Rhinolophus ferrumequinum: one gene and its partner. The protein of the gene in region 1 interacts with the protein of each later gene in a pairwise test. Links are inferred from orthologs where the notes say so. Each region holds a gene or a part of one and is shown on either strand. Other genes may lie near its edges.

Evidence for each region.
Region 2: the proteins of COPG1 (region 1) and COPZ1 interact in a two-hybrid assay, tested with the Homo sapiens proteins (2 studies listed by BioGRID). The link is inferred for Rhinolophus ferrumequinum from reciprocal best matches to the Homo sapiens genes COPG1 and COPZ1.

The regions. Positions count from the first base shown.
Region 1 is NC_046302.1:368,848-376,283, reverse strand, and holds the start of COPG1 (coatomer subunit gamma-1), read right to left. Parts: upstream 3,098-7,436; 5' UTR 2,986-3,097; coding exon 2,949-2,985; intron 2,009-2,948; coding exon 1,956-2,008; intron 1,487-1,955; coding exon 1,406-1,486; intron 1,196-1,405; coding exon 1,124-1,195; intron 940-1,123; coding exon 860-939; intron 1-859. UniProt on the Homo sapiens protein: The coatomer is a cytosolic protein complex that binds to dilysine motifs and reversibly associates with Golgi non-clathrin-coated vesicles, which further mediate biosynthetic protein transport from the ER, via the Golgi up to the trans Golgi network.
Region 2 is NC_046293.1:54,056,217-54,063,392, reverse strand, and holds the start of COPZ1 (coatomer subunit zeta-1), read right to left. Parts: upstream 3,021-7,176; 5' UTR 2,982-3,020; coding exon of another isoform or gene 2,964-2,981; intron 1-2,963. UniProt on the Homo sapiens protein: The coatomer is a cytosolic protein complex that binds to dilysine motifs and reversibly associates with Golgi non-clathrin-coated vesicles, which further mediate biosynthetic protein transport from the ER, via the Golgi up to the trans Golgi network.

The DNA of each region.
Region 1 (7,436 bases):
GATTGTTCCTCTCCAGGTGTTTGGGTATGCTGTTTCCTTAGCCCGGAACGCCTTGCCCCCCGACCTCTGGCCTGCTCTTTCTCACTCCTCTTTCAGGACTCCACTCAGACAGTTCTAGGAGGCCTTTCCTGATCCAAACTCAAGTTGGGTGCCCTTCTGATCTGCTCTCACAGCCCATCACACATCCCATGGTAAACCATAATATATCCTATTTTAACGCCTGACTATCTGATTATTTCTCTGTCAATTCTGGGGATGCTGCAGAGGACATATTTGTCTTGTTTGCTGTTCTATTCCAAGAGCTACACACAGGGACTGGTAGACAGTCAAAAATATATTTTCTAAATGAATCTACAAATGAATATATAACACCTCCCTCCGCCCCCAAAAAAATTGTGACAAGAAGAAATGAGAGAATTGTGCCCCAGTTCTCAAAGGCAGGGATTGTACTTTAGTCACATCTGTCTCCTAAATCACTCAGCCTACGATAGAAAGAAATACTTAGTAAGGAGGTCTATTTGTACACCTCTTGCATTCTCTATGTCTATTTTTCTCATGTTCTCTCTTGATACTCACTAAAGTCGTTGTGAGAGTTGTATTCTGGCTCAGCTGACTAAGAGGAATCAAGGGAAAGAAAGGTTTGTGCCCAAGCTAAGGACAGAAAATTAAAAGGGAAACAGCACACTCTGGAGGCTGCCATGGGGTAGGCAGCTGTAACTGAAGAATGAGGGAGACAGAAGATGAAAGGACACTTGGCAATATGTCAATCAAAAGTCTCATTGTCTAGTACACATGAGAAAAAATGGCCTCTGTATCAATGGAACCCATCAGAACAGCCATCCACAGACCCTAAACTTGCCTACTGGTGACGATGATGACATCCTCTGCAATGCTAGACATCTCCTTGATGGTCAAGTAGCACATCCGACGGAGGGTGGGCTGGGAAAGAGATAGGAAACATCCTATAACCTTTAGCCCAGTATGAGGGTCAGGGTGAGGAAAAGAAAACTCCAGAAGATGTAAAGGCAGTCCACACTGACTGGTGGGGTCACTTTCCCTTGGTGCTCCTACCACCCTGTCATAGCTATCCCCTCTCAAGGAAAGCTGGGGTTGGGGCACTTACATCGCTGGATTGAAAGAGCTTGGTCATGGCAAAAAAGGCTTCTGTTGCTTCAGTGGTCCCCAGATGCTCCCCCTATTTTAACCAAGAAAAAAGTTTCAATTTTGAACAGATGGTCCAGAAGGTTCTTCCTGCTGGATCATCCCAGGCCAAATCCTCAGATCCTGGCTGCTGGTTACAACCACACAGCAGCTGTTGAATCGCCTAAGGGCTGTTTGACTTTCTCCCCCCTACCCGCAACATCCCCCAACACCATTTCTCCACCCCTCAACCTGACCCTGTTACCTGGTTTATGAGGTAAAGAATCTTGGTGAGGATGTGGGCACATTTCCGAGGGTTGATGGGAGTTTCATTAAATACACGGGCCTAAGAAGAAGGGACCAAGGATATTATCTTCTAGCCCAATTTATTTCCCTTCCATTGACTGCCCTCAAGCTCATTCAAGGGCTGGGAAGTCCCAGGGTAAATAAATACACTTGCTTAGACAAGCTTATTTTCCTAAGAAAATAGTTTTTTCCTTTGATTTATTAATAACTGCTGAAATCTTCCTTAAATTTAAATATCAGTTAAGAATGTACTGACTTATTGACTAAAAGATAATTATTAAATGCTTGTTAACTAGAAAGAGAAATGAAGAACCACTACAAAAATGTAAGCACGATGAACTCTCTCCAGGAACAAAGCTTTCCTGTCTTTCCAGAAACAGGTTTTCTCTCCTATTATTCTTTAAACCAGAACTTTCTTCTTTAAACCAGAACTTTCAATGTGTTAGTATTAAAACTGCATCGATAGTAAACATTATGATGAAAGATGGAGGGGAGCAAATGATACTTGCCTCCTGGAGTACTGCACTCTTCTCAAGGTGCTGGAATGGATTGGAGCCTCCACCTGCGGTTGGAGAGCAGAAAAGACTGAGTGAGTATAAGTTGTGACCCTGAATCTCAAAACTCTCCCATAGAGAAGGGACAGGTGTCCCTATTGTCTACCTAGTCAAGTCTAAACTCAGAATGGCAACCACAACCTGCATATAGATCCTATCCCTCTCCTGCAAGGGGGCGCCCTCTACCATAAAGCACTTAAGTCACCCAACAGCCCTGGCACGGTCCTTTTTTGCCTTTCATGGTGTCATGTCTTGCATTCCTTTATGCAAAAGGTAGTTAAACCGAGTCCCTACTACTGCATAGGGACCACCACCTCCTAGCGATTAGTACTTCTTCACAGCAGATGTCACATTTGTAATTAACTACATGTGCTACTATTTGGTTGCTGTCTGTCTCCTCCATTATACCTGTGACTATTCTACTATTCCAAGCTTAGGCACTGAGTGTCTCACTTGTCCTCCTGCAGTATCAGGACACTGCAGTAAGTGCTGGACACATGCCAATTCCTGGCAGGTAGTAAGTGCTCAGTACATATTCGCTGAATAAATGAACGAGTCAAGGTTCTCAGCTCCAAGACATGAGCTCCACAGAAAATACCCCAGTTTGGCCAGCACCAACACATCCCCGGCGAATCCCAAGAGGTCAGACTGGAAAGTAATAAAGGAGCACCTGCTACTCCCCGTACAGATGGAGAAGCTAAGGCGCTGAGAGGCGCGTGACCTGCCCCATGGTCACCCAGCGAATCGCGGTCCGAGCTTAAGAAAGGAGGACAGTGGCTCGGGCTCTCCGAGGCCTGCCACTGACCAGCTGCGGACCTTTGCACAAGACCCTGCCTCTCACTGGGCCTCGACCTCGGGTGAGGACAGAAATCCCAAAAGAGGGCTCCTAGGAAGGGTGCTGACAGCCTGCACGATGGTCCAGCCTGACCCAGGCCTAGGCTCTCTCACCCGATTCCTCGTCTTTCTTGTCGAATTTCTTCAGCATGGTCGTTCCAGCGGGGTCGCAAAGCAGCAGCCCTGTGCTGGACTTCCGTGGCTAGCTCAGTCTGGTGACAGTTCCGTCTAAGCCACTTCCGGCTGGCCACGTCGCACCGCGCTCTGCGCAGGCGCACTCCGCGCTTTGCGCAAGCGCATATTCCGGCTGGGGAGGTCCCGTCTGGAGTTAACCCTGTCCCCGCCGGGGTAGGTCCGGAGGCCGGGGATAGGCGGACGTGGAGGCCTTGGGGGACTGCCGAGGCCTTAGACTCAGGACTGACCGGCACCCCAGCTTTGCGCCTTACTCCCTCCTTATCTGTGCAATGGGAGTAGTAGTCGTCTTTGCCTCATTGCGTTGTGCCGTGAGTTTAAACGGCTTTTGGAAGTGAGGGCCCTAGTACACTGTCCCGCAATAGACCCCAATTAATGTTGCCAGTTCTTACTATTGTCACCTTATCAGGGAGGCCTCACTAGCCACTCCTCACTCTACCCTGGCCTGATGTTTCTCCCTAGTTCGAATCACCATCTAACACACTATTTTCACTATATTGCTTTTACTGTCTTTTATTCACTGGCCTGCATAATGTTGGCATGTAGTAGGTGCTCAGTAAATTCTTGTTGAATGAATTAATGCATGAACTTGCTCTTATAATTCATGTCTGCTCCTGGTGCAGATTGTTTTGTACTTTAAGGGATCTAACTAAAGTGAAAGATCAGCATGGAAAAAGTTCAATGTGCTTTTAAAATACTTTGGGTATTTATCAAGGGCCTACTAGATACGCCCAGCGCTGGGGGCGGGAAAGCATGGGAAGGGGAAAATGAAACACCACTCAGGGTTTGTCTTCCTGGGGACTTGGGCAGGACACCTTGAGGCCAAGGTAAGGACAGTGAGAACCGACGTGCCAAATTGCACTGGTTGTGGCAAAGCTGAGTCAGGATAGCCGTGCGCTGCGACGCGTAGCACCAACTTGCCTCGGGAGGAGGCAGCCCCGAGACCTGCGGGGAGGAGGAGGCCTGCTGAGCATCTGGAGCAGAGGCCCGCAGGTGACGAAGGTAAGGGTGACAGCAGAGCAGAAGAAAAGGGTATGTGGGGGGAGGGGCCAGCCTTTAGGGTCATGCTTTGCTGAGTGAGGCTGGGGCCTAGCAGGAAGCAGGGGAGGCGGAGAGCAGATGTTGCGCCAAGGTGAAATTGCCACGAGCCAAAAAGATGTTCAAAATCTTGAATCAGTAACCAGCCCCCAGACCTGCGGGGAGGAGAAGGAGGCTTTCTCCTTCTCCTTACCCGGAGGAAACCCCACCCCTTATCCGGAGGAAATCATACAAAAGAAGAAAATAAAGTTGCCTACTGCAGCAGTTTGCAGCAAGAAAATTGGAAACATCCAAAATGTCCAACAATAAGGGGATAATTTATGGGAATTATGGTACAGCCATCGGATGAAATATTCTGTCCCTTTTATAAAGGAGTATTTCTTTTCTGTTTATTTGGTTTTTATTTTTTAAATTATAGTTGGCATTCAACATGTTAGTTTTAAGTGTACACGTAGTGAATAGACAAAGGGATATTTCTAATGTCTTGGGAGGCAATATGCAAACTTCTTATAATAAACGAGACATTAAAAAAGAAAAGCATGGTGTAAAAGTGTTCATAATTAAGATGAAGTAAGTATGCCTCATGGTTAAAAACCAGAAAAGAACCCTGGAAATTTATATTGCTGTGTTAAGAACGTGATATACAGATAAATTGCGTTGAATTAAAATAGCCTTTTGTGTTATGATATTAGTTCTATAAAACTATATATGAAGGGCAATTTTTGTAATGAAATTACAATGAGAATTGTGGGTTGTAACTCCAGCTCTAAGTATGGGTTTACATATAATCGTAGGGTTTTTATTATTTTTAAAAGTAATATAATTCTTCATAATTGCTAAGTCCTTTGTAGAAACACAGAATACTGAAAGCACAAGAGAGAAACTAGGGAAATCTTAATAACATTGGTAGATTATACCAATATCAATATCCTAGCTGTGATATTATTTTTATTAATTTTACTGCATTTTAAAAATTGAGACAAAATCTATATACTTTAAAATTCACCCTTTTAAAGTGTACAATTCAGTGCTTTTCAGTATATTCAAAAGATTGTGTTCTCTTTACCACTAATTCCAGAATATTTTCATCATAAGAAATCCATATCCATTAGCATTCATTCTCCATTCCTCACACCCCTCCCTAGTTCCCCCCTCCAACCTATTTTGTGTCTACTTTTAATTAATTAATCTACTTTGTGTCTCTATGGATTTACCTATTCTAGATATTTCATATAAATTGAATCACACAATATGTGGCCTTTTGTGTGTCTGGCTTCTTTCACTTACACAATGTTTTCAAGGTGCATCCATGCCGTAGAATGAATCAGTGCTTCAGTCTTTTTAATTGCTGGATAATATTACATTTTATGGATATACATTTTTTAAGTCCTTTTTTGTTACAAAAAAATTTAATAGTTAGACATTTACAACCCTCACAAAGTGATAACGGCCCCCAATCTACTACCCCTCTGACATCGAATATAGCTGTTACAATTCCACTGACTATATTCCCAATGTTGTATTCCACCTCCCATGACCATATATACCCCGTTTCTCCGAAAATAAGACCTAACCTTACAGTCAGCTCTAATGTGTCTTTTGGAGCAAACATTAATAATATAAGACCCGGTGTTATATAAGACCTAGTCTTACTGTACAATAAGGCCGGGTCTTATATTAATGTTTGCTCCAAAAGACGCATTAGCGCTGATTGTCCGGTTAGGTCTTATTTTGGGGGAAACATGGTATATATATTTAATTATAGTTGACATTCAATAGTATTCAACTTCAGCTTCAGGTATATAGCACAGTGGTCAGGTATCTACACAGTCTGTGAAGTACAGTGCCTATCTGGCAACCTACATAATCTTGACAACATTATTGATTATATTCCCCAAACTGTATTTCGTATCACCGTGGCTATATTGTGACTACTAATTAGTACTTTCTAATCCCTTTACTTTCTCCCCCAGAGTCCCAACACCCCTCCAATTTAGCAACCATCAGATTTTTTTTCCCTATATGTCTGAGTCTATTTCTGTTTTGTGTGTTCGTTTAATCTGTTCTTTAGAGTCCACATATAAGTGAGATCATATGGTATTTGTCTTTCTCTGTCTGACTTATTTCACTCTAGGTTCATCCATGTCGTTGCAAATGGTAAGATTTCATTCTTCTTTATGGCCGAGTAATACTGCATTGTATAAATGTACCACGGTTTCTTTATCCAGTCGTCTATCGATGGGCATTTCTGTTGTTTCCATATCTTGGCTATTGTGAATAGTGCTGCAATAAACATAGGGGTGCACATATTTTTTTGAATTAGTGTTTTGAATTTCTTTGGTTAGATACCCAGGAGTGGAATTTCTGGGTCATAAAGTAGTTCCATTTTCAGTTTTTTGAGGTACCTCCATACTGGTTTTCGTAGTGGCTGCATCAATCTGCAATCCCCACAACAGTACATGAGGGTTCCCTTTTCTCCACATCCTCGCCAGCACTTGCTGTTTGTTGATTTATTGATGATAGCCATTCTGACCGGGGTGAGGTGGTAACTCATTATGGTTTTTATTTGCATTTCTCTAATTATTAGTGACATTGAGCATTTTTTTCATATGTCTCTTGGCCATCTGTACATCCTCTTTTTTTTTTTTTTAAAGATTTTATTGGGGAAGGGGAACAGGACTTTATTGGGGAACAGTGTGTACTTCCAGGCCTGTTTTCCAAGTCAAGTTGTTGTCCTTTCAATCTTAGTTGTGGAGGGCGCAGCTCAATTCCAGGTCCAGTTGCTGTTGCTAGTTGTAGGGGGCGCAGCCCACCATCCCTTGCGGGAGTCAAGGAATCAAACTGGCAACTTGTGGTTGAGAGGACACGCTCCAACCAACTGAGCCATCCAGGAGCTCAGCGGCAGCTCAGCTCAAGGTGCCATGTTCAATCTTAGTTGCAGGGGCAGAGCCCACCATCCCTTGCGGGACTCGAGGAATTGAACTGGCAGCCTTGTGGTTGAGAGCCCACTGGCCCATGTGGGAACTGAACCATCAGCCTTCTGAGTTAGGAGCATGGAGCTCTAACCGCCTGAGCCACCGGGCCGGCCCCTGTACATCCTCTTTAGAGAAAAGTCTCTTCATGTCCTCTGCCCATTTTTTAATTGGGTTGCTTGGTTTTTTTTGGTATGAGTTTTTTATAAATTTTGAATATTAACCCCTTATCAGATGTATCATTGACAAATATCTTCTCCCATTCAGTAGGATACCTTTTTATTTTGTTGATGGTTTCCTTTGCTGTAGAAAAGCTTTTTAGTTTGATGTAATCCCACATGTTTATTTTTTCTTTTGCTTCCCTTGCCCAAGGGGATATATCAGTAAAAATATTACTAAG
Region 2 (7,176 bases), on another chromosome or scaffold:
AGATCAAATTTCGATTGATGGTTCTTCTTGACCGCCTCTAGCTTACCCTTCCCTTCTCAATATTCTATGGCTGGGTGCCTTGTAGAGGTGAGGATAGAAGAATATGCTCTGATCAGATTTCCCCAGAGGTCCAGCCAAACCAGGAAATAAAAATGTGAAAGGAGGAAGCCTAAAAGAACTTTAGAAGGTGTCTCCCTTTCTAAGGAATGGCTTGTTAAATACTATCCAGGTACACTAAACTCTTTAGTTCAGTACAGAGCTAAGGTAAGGTCCAGGGATTCTTTACATTTTTCATAATGAACATGGCAACCTAAGACTCATGCGATACTCCTGAGTAGACAGAAGAGGGGAAGAGATTAAAAGGAACAGTGAGGAAGAGTAATTCTGAATCAGATAGAGCTAAATTTTGTGGGCTAGTATGTGAGGGTAGTGAGCAGAGAAAGAAAAACTTAGAAAATATCACCTGATTCTCAACTAGGATTCTACATCTGAACCACTGAATACTGATAATTATTGAAGTGACTATTTTCTCACTTCTCCCAAAGACGGAACAAAACTAGTGCCATTGCGGTTACAGAGGACAGAAATTGGTTCATTACATACAATGAATACCTTAAGTCATTAGGGCTTAATTCTTTCCTGGAACTCCAGTTGAGAAGAGCTGGAATGATGAGAAAGGTATATAAATTCGTAATTAGGAGCCCAAAATATTGAAATTGTAAAGAGAATAAAATGTGGGAAAGAGCTGACACGGAGGAAGGGAAATACTAGTTTAATATTCTAAGAACGCTGGAGACACCAGCATAAGAATTGATACCTGTTGGTACTTTGTCCCCAACAAAAGCTTTATATAACTGATGGTCAAAAGTACAGTTTTGTATATTAAAGAAGTGGAAGCCGACGATGAGATAACAGAGACAACTGGTATGGGATTAGGAATCAAAATCTAATCTAGTTTTGACATTATACTTCCTTGAGCAAGCCCTTTTCCCTATACCTTGGTTTGTCCCCACTATATAAGTTTGTCATGACAAAGAATCAGTATGGTTTTTAAAGCAAAGTTCAGGGGTACCTGACCGGTTAGCATGGCTCTGTGAATGCTGCATCTTAGGTACAGATTAAAATGGATATAAAAAAGCAGCAGGTTGAAATACACTTCACTGAGGAAGCAGAGACAGAGAACCTGGGTTTAACAGAAAATGTGAAAGACTTTCACGTATAACTGCCTCAATTCACCACTACACACAGATCTCTGGTTAAAACAGCTCCCTAAGTATCATCTCCCTCACTGCTTTCTTTACCTGTAAACAGGCTCCTTTCTAAAGAAGAGATTGCTTCTCTTAACGAAATGCAGGGGGCCAGGCACCAGCAAGGAAGCAGTCTAAAAATTTCCAAAAACTTCAAAAGAAACCAATTCCCCTGAACTTATCTCAGTCTGTTAACTGCTTAAGAATACTGTTCAAGTGCGTGGTACAGAAAATATCTTATTAAAAAGTACTCCGTTTTAAGCTTTCTATAATATCTAGGCTTGACCAACCCATATGATGAGAAGGAATTATCTCTATCTTTGCCATTTTCAAAGAGGGGAACTGAAATCTGTTATTCTCTTTTACCTGATGAGGATCTGAATGTGTACATGTATTAGAATTGAAGGAAAGACAAAGACAAAAAAGAGGCTGTGCAGACAGAGCCAGGAGAGCAGTTTCCAGGCTCCCGGCCTCACGTGGAAAGGTGCTGGCTCAGGTAGTAGATGGCCATCAGCTGTGACTAGTTGGCCATCAGCTGTTACCGGTTAGCCATTAGCCACTGATATAACTGCTGTGGCTAAGCTAACAAGCGCAGATTGCGGATTGCAGTTAACAAGTGAGGTTGGCTGGCAGAGAAGCGGACGGCGGGTTGCACATGGTGTGGATCCTGCTTCCTGTGTCTCCAACCCAGCCGCCATGGAGAATATAGTGCTATGACTCCCCTATCTATGGCTCCGTTGGTGTTCCTTTTTGGTCTCACCATATCCTGCGTTCTTGGGCTGGGAGCGGGAACTGAGACCCCGCATGACACCCTGCATGACAGAGGCCTTGAGTTCAACTCAAGTAAAGAAGGAAGTGGGAACTAAATTCCTACACGCAGATCTCTGTTAACATCTCCCCTAGTTGCAAAACAGGTACTTCTGAGAGAAATGCTGTGGTCCAGGTCTAAAGAAGGAATAATAGTGCTTTATTTGTTTGAACAAGCTAAAAGGATCATATGGACAAGGGAGCTAATACACCCCTTTAAACACCAAAATTCTCCTCTCTCTCTCTCACCAGAGAGAGTTAGCATCCCAGATCCTACAATAAGAATTCCTAAAGTTTAAATGGGTAGGGAAAAGGAGACCAGAATAAGGAGTCTGAAAAAATATTCCACAATCCATGCTAACTCCATCAAGCATTCCAGAACATTGATGGAATACTGATTCTTTCTTTATCATGACACATCTATATAAAAGGGATTAACAGGAAACCAAGCAAAAAGAATAGTTTTCTGAAAGAATGTGACGGGGAATTATCAATGGAGTATCAAACTGTGACAACCAACAGGAGAAGCCTGTGATGACAAACACCTGCACTCCATTCTTACAATTTGGGGCGAGTTTGGAGAAACTCAAATCAGAATATCATCCACAATGCTCAGAATCGGGGGAACCTGAAGGACCTCAATCCAGTAGGCTTATGATCCTATGCGTCCCAAGGACCCCGTGTGCTCCCTTCAACTTTCCACCGACTCTGCCCTCTTCTCCGACTGTGCCCTACTCTAAACCGAGGTTCTAGCTCCTGCACTAGGCCACACCCTTATTCCAGGGGCCGGCAGAACCTTCGGTCCCGGAGGATTACCCGGAACTCCCGTATCTACCCACTTCCAGTCAGGTTGAACCCCGACTCCCGACCCCTCTAACACCGTAGCATCTCGATTGCCCCGGCTCCTACCAAAATCAGCGCCTCCATCTTGCCCCGCAGCTGGTGCCGACGTGGAGCCGCAAAAAGAACGCGGCCGCTGATTGGCCCTACGTCCTCGTTCGACCCCGCCCAGGATGGGGATTATTGGACTACGGGGTGCCAGCTATTGCTCTATTGACCAATCAGAGTGCTAGTTTGCTTTGCGGAAGCAAGGTCTCCAGCCAGAAGGCGCAGGTATTTGATTGTCAGTTTAAACACTCAATAAAACGCCAAAATCTCACGACTGAATGGGGCGGGAGAGTCAATGGGGCGGGGTTGTTTCCATGGGGAACAGAGGAAGCGAATATTAATTTTCAATTGGCAGGGCGGGGAGCACGTGATATCGTAAGCCTGGGTTAGCCACTTTAATCCGCACTCCCTTTAGGGGGCGCTATGTCTCCTTAACGTTTAACACTGGCAGCTCTTGGCAGAATCCTACCCTAATCCGCATTCCAAGAACTCCGATTAGGTCCCTGATGTTCACGGTTGCTTTGGCAAACACTGCTAGTTCTTCCTCAGACTCGCTCAGATCACTTGAGCATCCTCGCAGAAAGTCTGCCCAACCATAGAATAAAGCCAAGGGATGCCCAAGGTGTTAACTAGATAAACCAAAGTCTCCAGAAAGTTGATTGCTACAGTAACAATCTTCCCAAGGTGGAGTCCCAGGGAATGACCCACTGAGTTTCTAAAAGCAGATTTCTTTGGCCGCAAGTAAACTGGGATGTTAAGAGTTTTGGAAACCAGAGAGGAGAGAGTAGGAGGGACAGAGGGGTAAAGGGTCCAGGATAAGGAAGGGTATGGGGAGCAGGGTCTGCGGTCGTTCAGTAAGGACAAGCCGTTGCAAAATGAGAAAAGAGAAGTTTACTGAATGCAGGGATTTCACAATAGGGAAGGGTTCTGATGAAGTTTAGCTTTCCCCTACCCCTCTGTTCCTTGGTCCCTTACCTCCCCTTAGGTCAAGGACACCTTCTATTGCCTTGTGTTATCCCCAAAGGGATTTTGTTTTTTCTGTCTCTGACATTATTTCTTTAGAAGCTCTCCCAAGACGCTCTCCCATGATTCAGAAGCTCTCCCATGATTCAAACGTAATCATGAGTTTTTCTAATAATTTCAGAGTAGAGTCAGAGGGCCTAAGAGAAAAGTATAACAATACAAAACAAACTACAGAGCTGACATTTGCTCTAAAGGAAGGTATATGATTTTCTGGTAAAATCCGAGGTGACAAGGCTCATATCTTGAAGAAGCCTTTATCTATTCCAAATGGGGAGATACTCAAACATTTAGCTTTATGCCTGGCATCACAAGATTGTCCTTGGCTTGGCAGCTTAATGATAATACTAACATTTATTGACAATTTACTATGGGCCAGACACATGCTAAATCTTTGGATTTATTATTTAATATTTTTAAAAACCCTTATGATGGGACTGGTGGAACTGGGAGCAATTACATAATTTACTTAAGGCCATACAAGTATTCACTGGCAGCCATACATTTGAGCATAGGAGGTCTGGTTCTAAAACCATGTGCTTACTTACAATCCTATGCATGCTAAGGATTCCCATGTTCTTACCCACAATCCACTCTGACTTGTGGTACAGCCTCTCTTGTATCCTACCTAGTCCTACCTGAAGTACCCTACACCAGATGTTCTATAGGGACCATGAGGAGAAAAATATGTGGTGTGGCTGGTTTGGGGGAGGGGGTTAGCTCCTCTTTCTTTGTGTACTGACAAATCTTAACATTCAGACATTGTTCCAGAAGAGGGTTGATTCTTAGCTCTCCAACCTATTGCGTAACTGCAGTGGGGGGAAAACAATTAACTGAATGGGAGACATTAGTTCTTGTTTTGACTTTGCCTTAACAAGTGAGAGAATTTTGACAAGTACCAATACCCTCTCCAGACTACAGCTGCCACTTCTCGAAAATGGGGAGTCTCAGACCAGAGCTTTCTAGGGCCCTACCTCCTTACCCAGCATTAAAGTTCTATGATCATTCTTGTTTCATTTGCTTCCATCTCACCTTCAGCTGGAAAACCTTTAAGAACCAATCAAATGAAAAATACATATGTTCCCTCAACCATATGTATACACACACACTCACACGTAGTTAACCCTTTAATAGCACGGGTTTGAACTGAGTGGGTCCACTGATATGTGTTTTTTTAAATAAATACTGTAAATGTATTTTCTCTGATGATTTTTTTAATAACATATTCTTTCTCTAGCTTATTTATTGTAAGAATACAATATATAATACATATAACATACAAAATATTTGTTAATCAAGTGTTTATGTTATCTGTAAGGCTTCCGATCAACAGTTGGCTGTTAGTAATTTAAGTTTTGGGGGAGTCAAAGTTATACATAGATTTTCAACCGCATGAGGTATTGGTCAGCCCCTAATCCCAGTGTAGTTCAAGGATCGACCGTGTGTGTGTGTGTGTGTGTGTGTGTGTTATTGTGTGGAGGAAAAGACTGGAAGGACATACCCAAAAATGTAACCAGTGGCTAGTTCAAAGTGCTAGGACTTTTTTCAATGTTTTCATATTTTCTAGGTGTTCTAAAATGCATGGGTGCTATTTTAAAAGGAGAAAAACAAGCTATTTTTTAAAGGACAAAATCAACATCTTCTCCCCATGAATACTTCCCTGATATGCCCAGGTAGATTTGGACACTTCCTCATTTCTGCCATCATCGACTCTGGTTATAGTCATGTTTTAATACATCAATCTAACTCATCAGACTTGTCATCTGAGGCAGTGCTTTGTCCCTTTCATTTTATTTACTTAGCATCTAGCCCTCAAATAGTAAATACTCAAGTAGTGTTTGCTGAATAGAATGAATATTTGTGAAAATGCAAGATACAAAGATAAATGAGCAGTGTCGAAGTGCAGTTTAGGATTAAATGCCAAATAAAGGGTACAGATATTGAGAGGAAGTGATCCCTGGGGATTTGGGTGGGAGAGTCAAGATCCAGGAGAAGGGCTGTTGAGTTTGGCCTTGATTTATTCATGCATTGATGAAATGACTGGTAGGGTTTGGTATGAATAAAGGAATGGAGTCTGGGATGTGCAAGAAATATTTTTCTTTTTTTTAATTGTAAAATGTTTTTACTTACTTTTATATGTAACATAAAGTTTATACCATTTTAACCAATTCTAAGTGTACAGTTCAGTGACATTCAGCATATTCACATTGTTATACAGCCATCACCACTATCAATCTCCAGAACTTTTCATCATCCCAAACTGAAATTGTATACCCATTAAATAAACAATAACTCCCCATTCTCCCCTGCCCCCTAGACTTTGGTAACCACTATTCTACTTCCTGTCTCTTAATTTGACTATTTTAGTACCTTATATAAGTGGAATCATATATTTGTCCTTTTGTATTTGGTTTATTTCACTTAACACAATGTCTTCAGTGTTGTGTAATGTAAGAAATCTTTGAGGGATTGGTTTCATGGGACAGAGGATAAATAAAGAAATAGTATGGAAGGGGATGGAGATAAAACTGGAAAGGTACTTTGTGGCCAGATGGTGAAATGCATTGAATACAAATGTAGGTAACTGCTGTAGTGGGACCAGATGATGGTGGGAGTTGGAAGTGTTACTCTCTTTTGGAAAGTATTATGGCAGTTCCTGTAATATTAAACATGGGTACATCCTTTCCTAGAGAATTACAAACACAATCCAGTACATAATGACACATACATAAGAGTGCTTATTGCAACATTGTTTATAATGGCAAAAAATAACATTGTCTATCAAAGGGAGAATAGTTGAATAAATTATTGTATATCCAGACTGTGGAATAACAATGCAATAAATTTAAAAAGTATGCTAGAGGTATATGCATTAACTTGGAGAAATGGTAATGAAATGTTAAATGACAAGAGTAAGTTAAAGAGGAATTTATGTGGTATGATTCCATTTTTTCATTAAAAATATAAGGCTAATTATGAATAACTATGTTTGAAATGTTTCTATTCTGTTCATTCATTCATTCATTCATTCATTCTGCAAATATTTATTAAATGCTAGCCATGGGCTAGCCACTCCCTCTAAGCAGTGGATATATAAAAACAGTGAACAATACAAATACGTATCATTGCCCTCATAGAATCCTTGCATTCTGGTTGAGGAACAGAAGTAGATAATAGTCAAAGAAATAAGTAAATTATATAGGAGGTTAGGGGG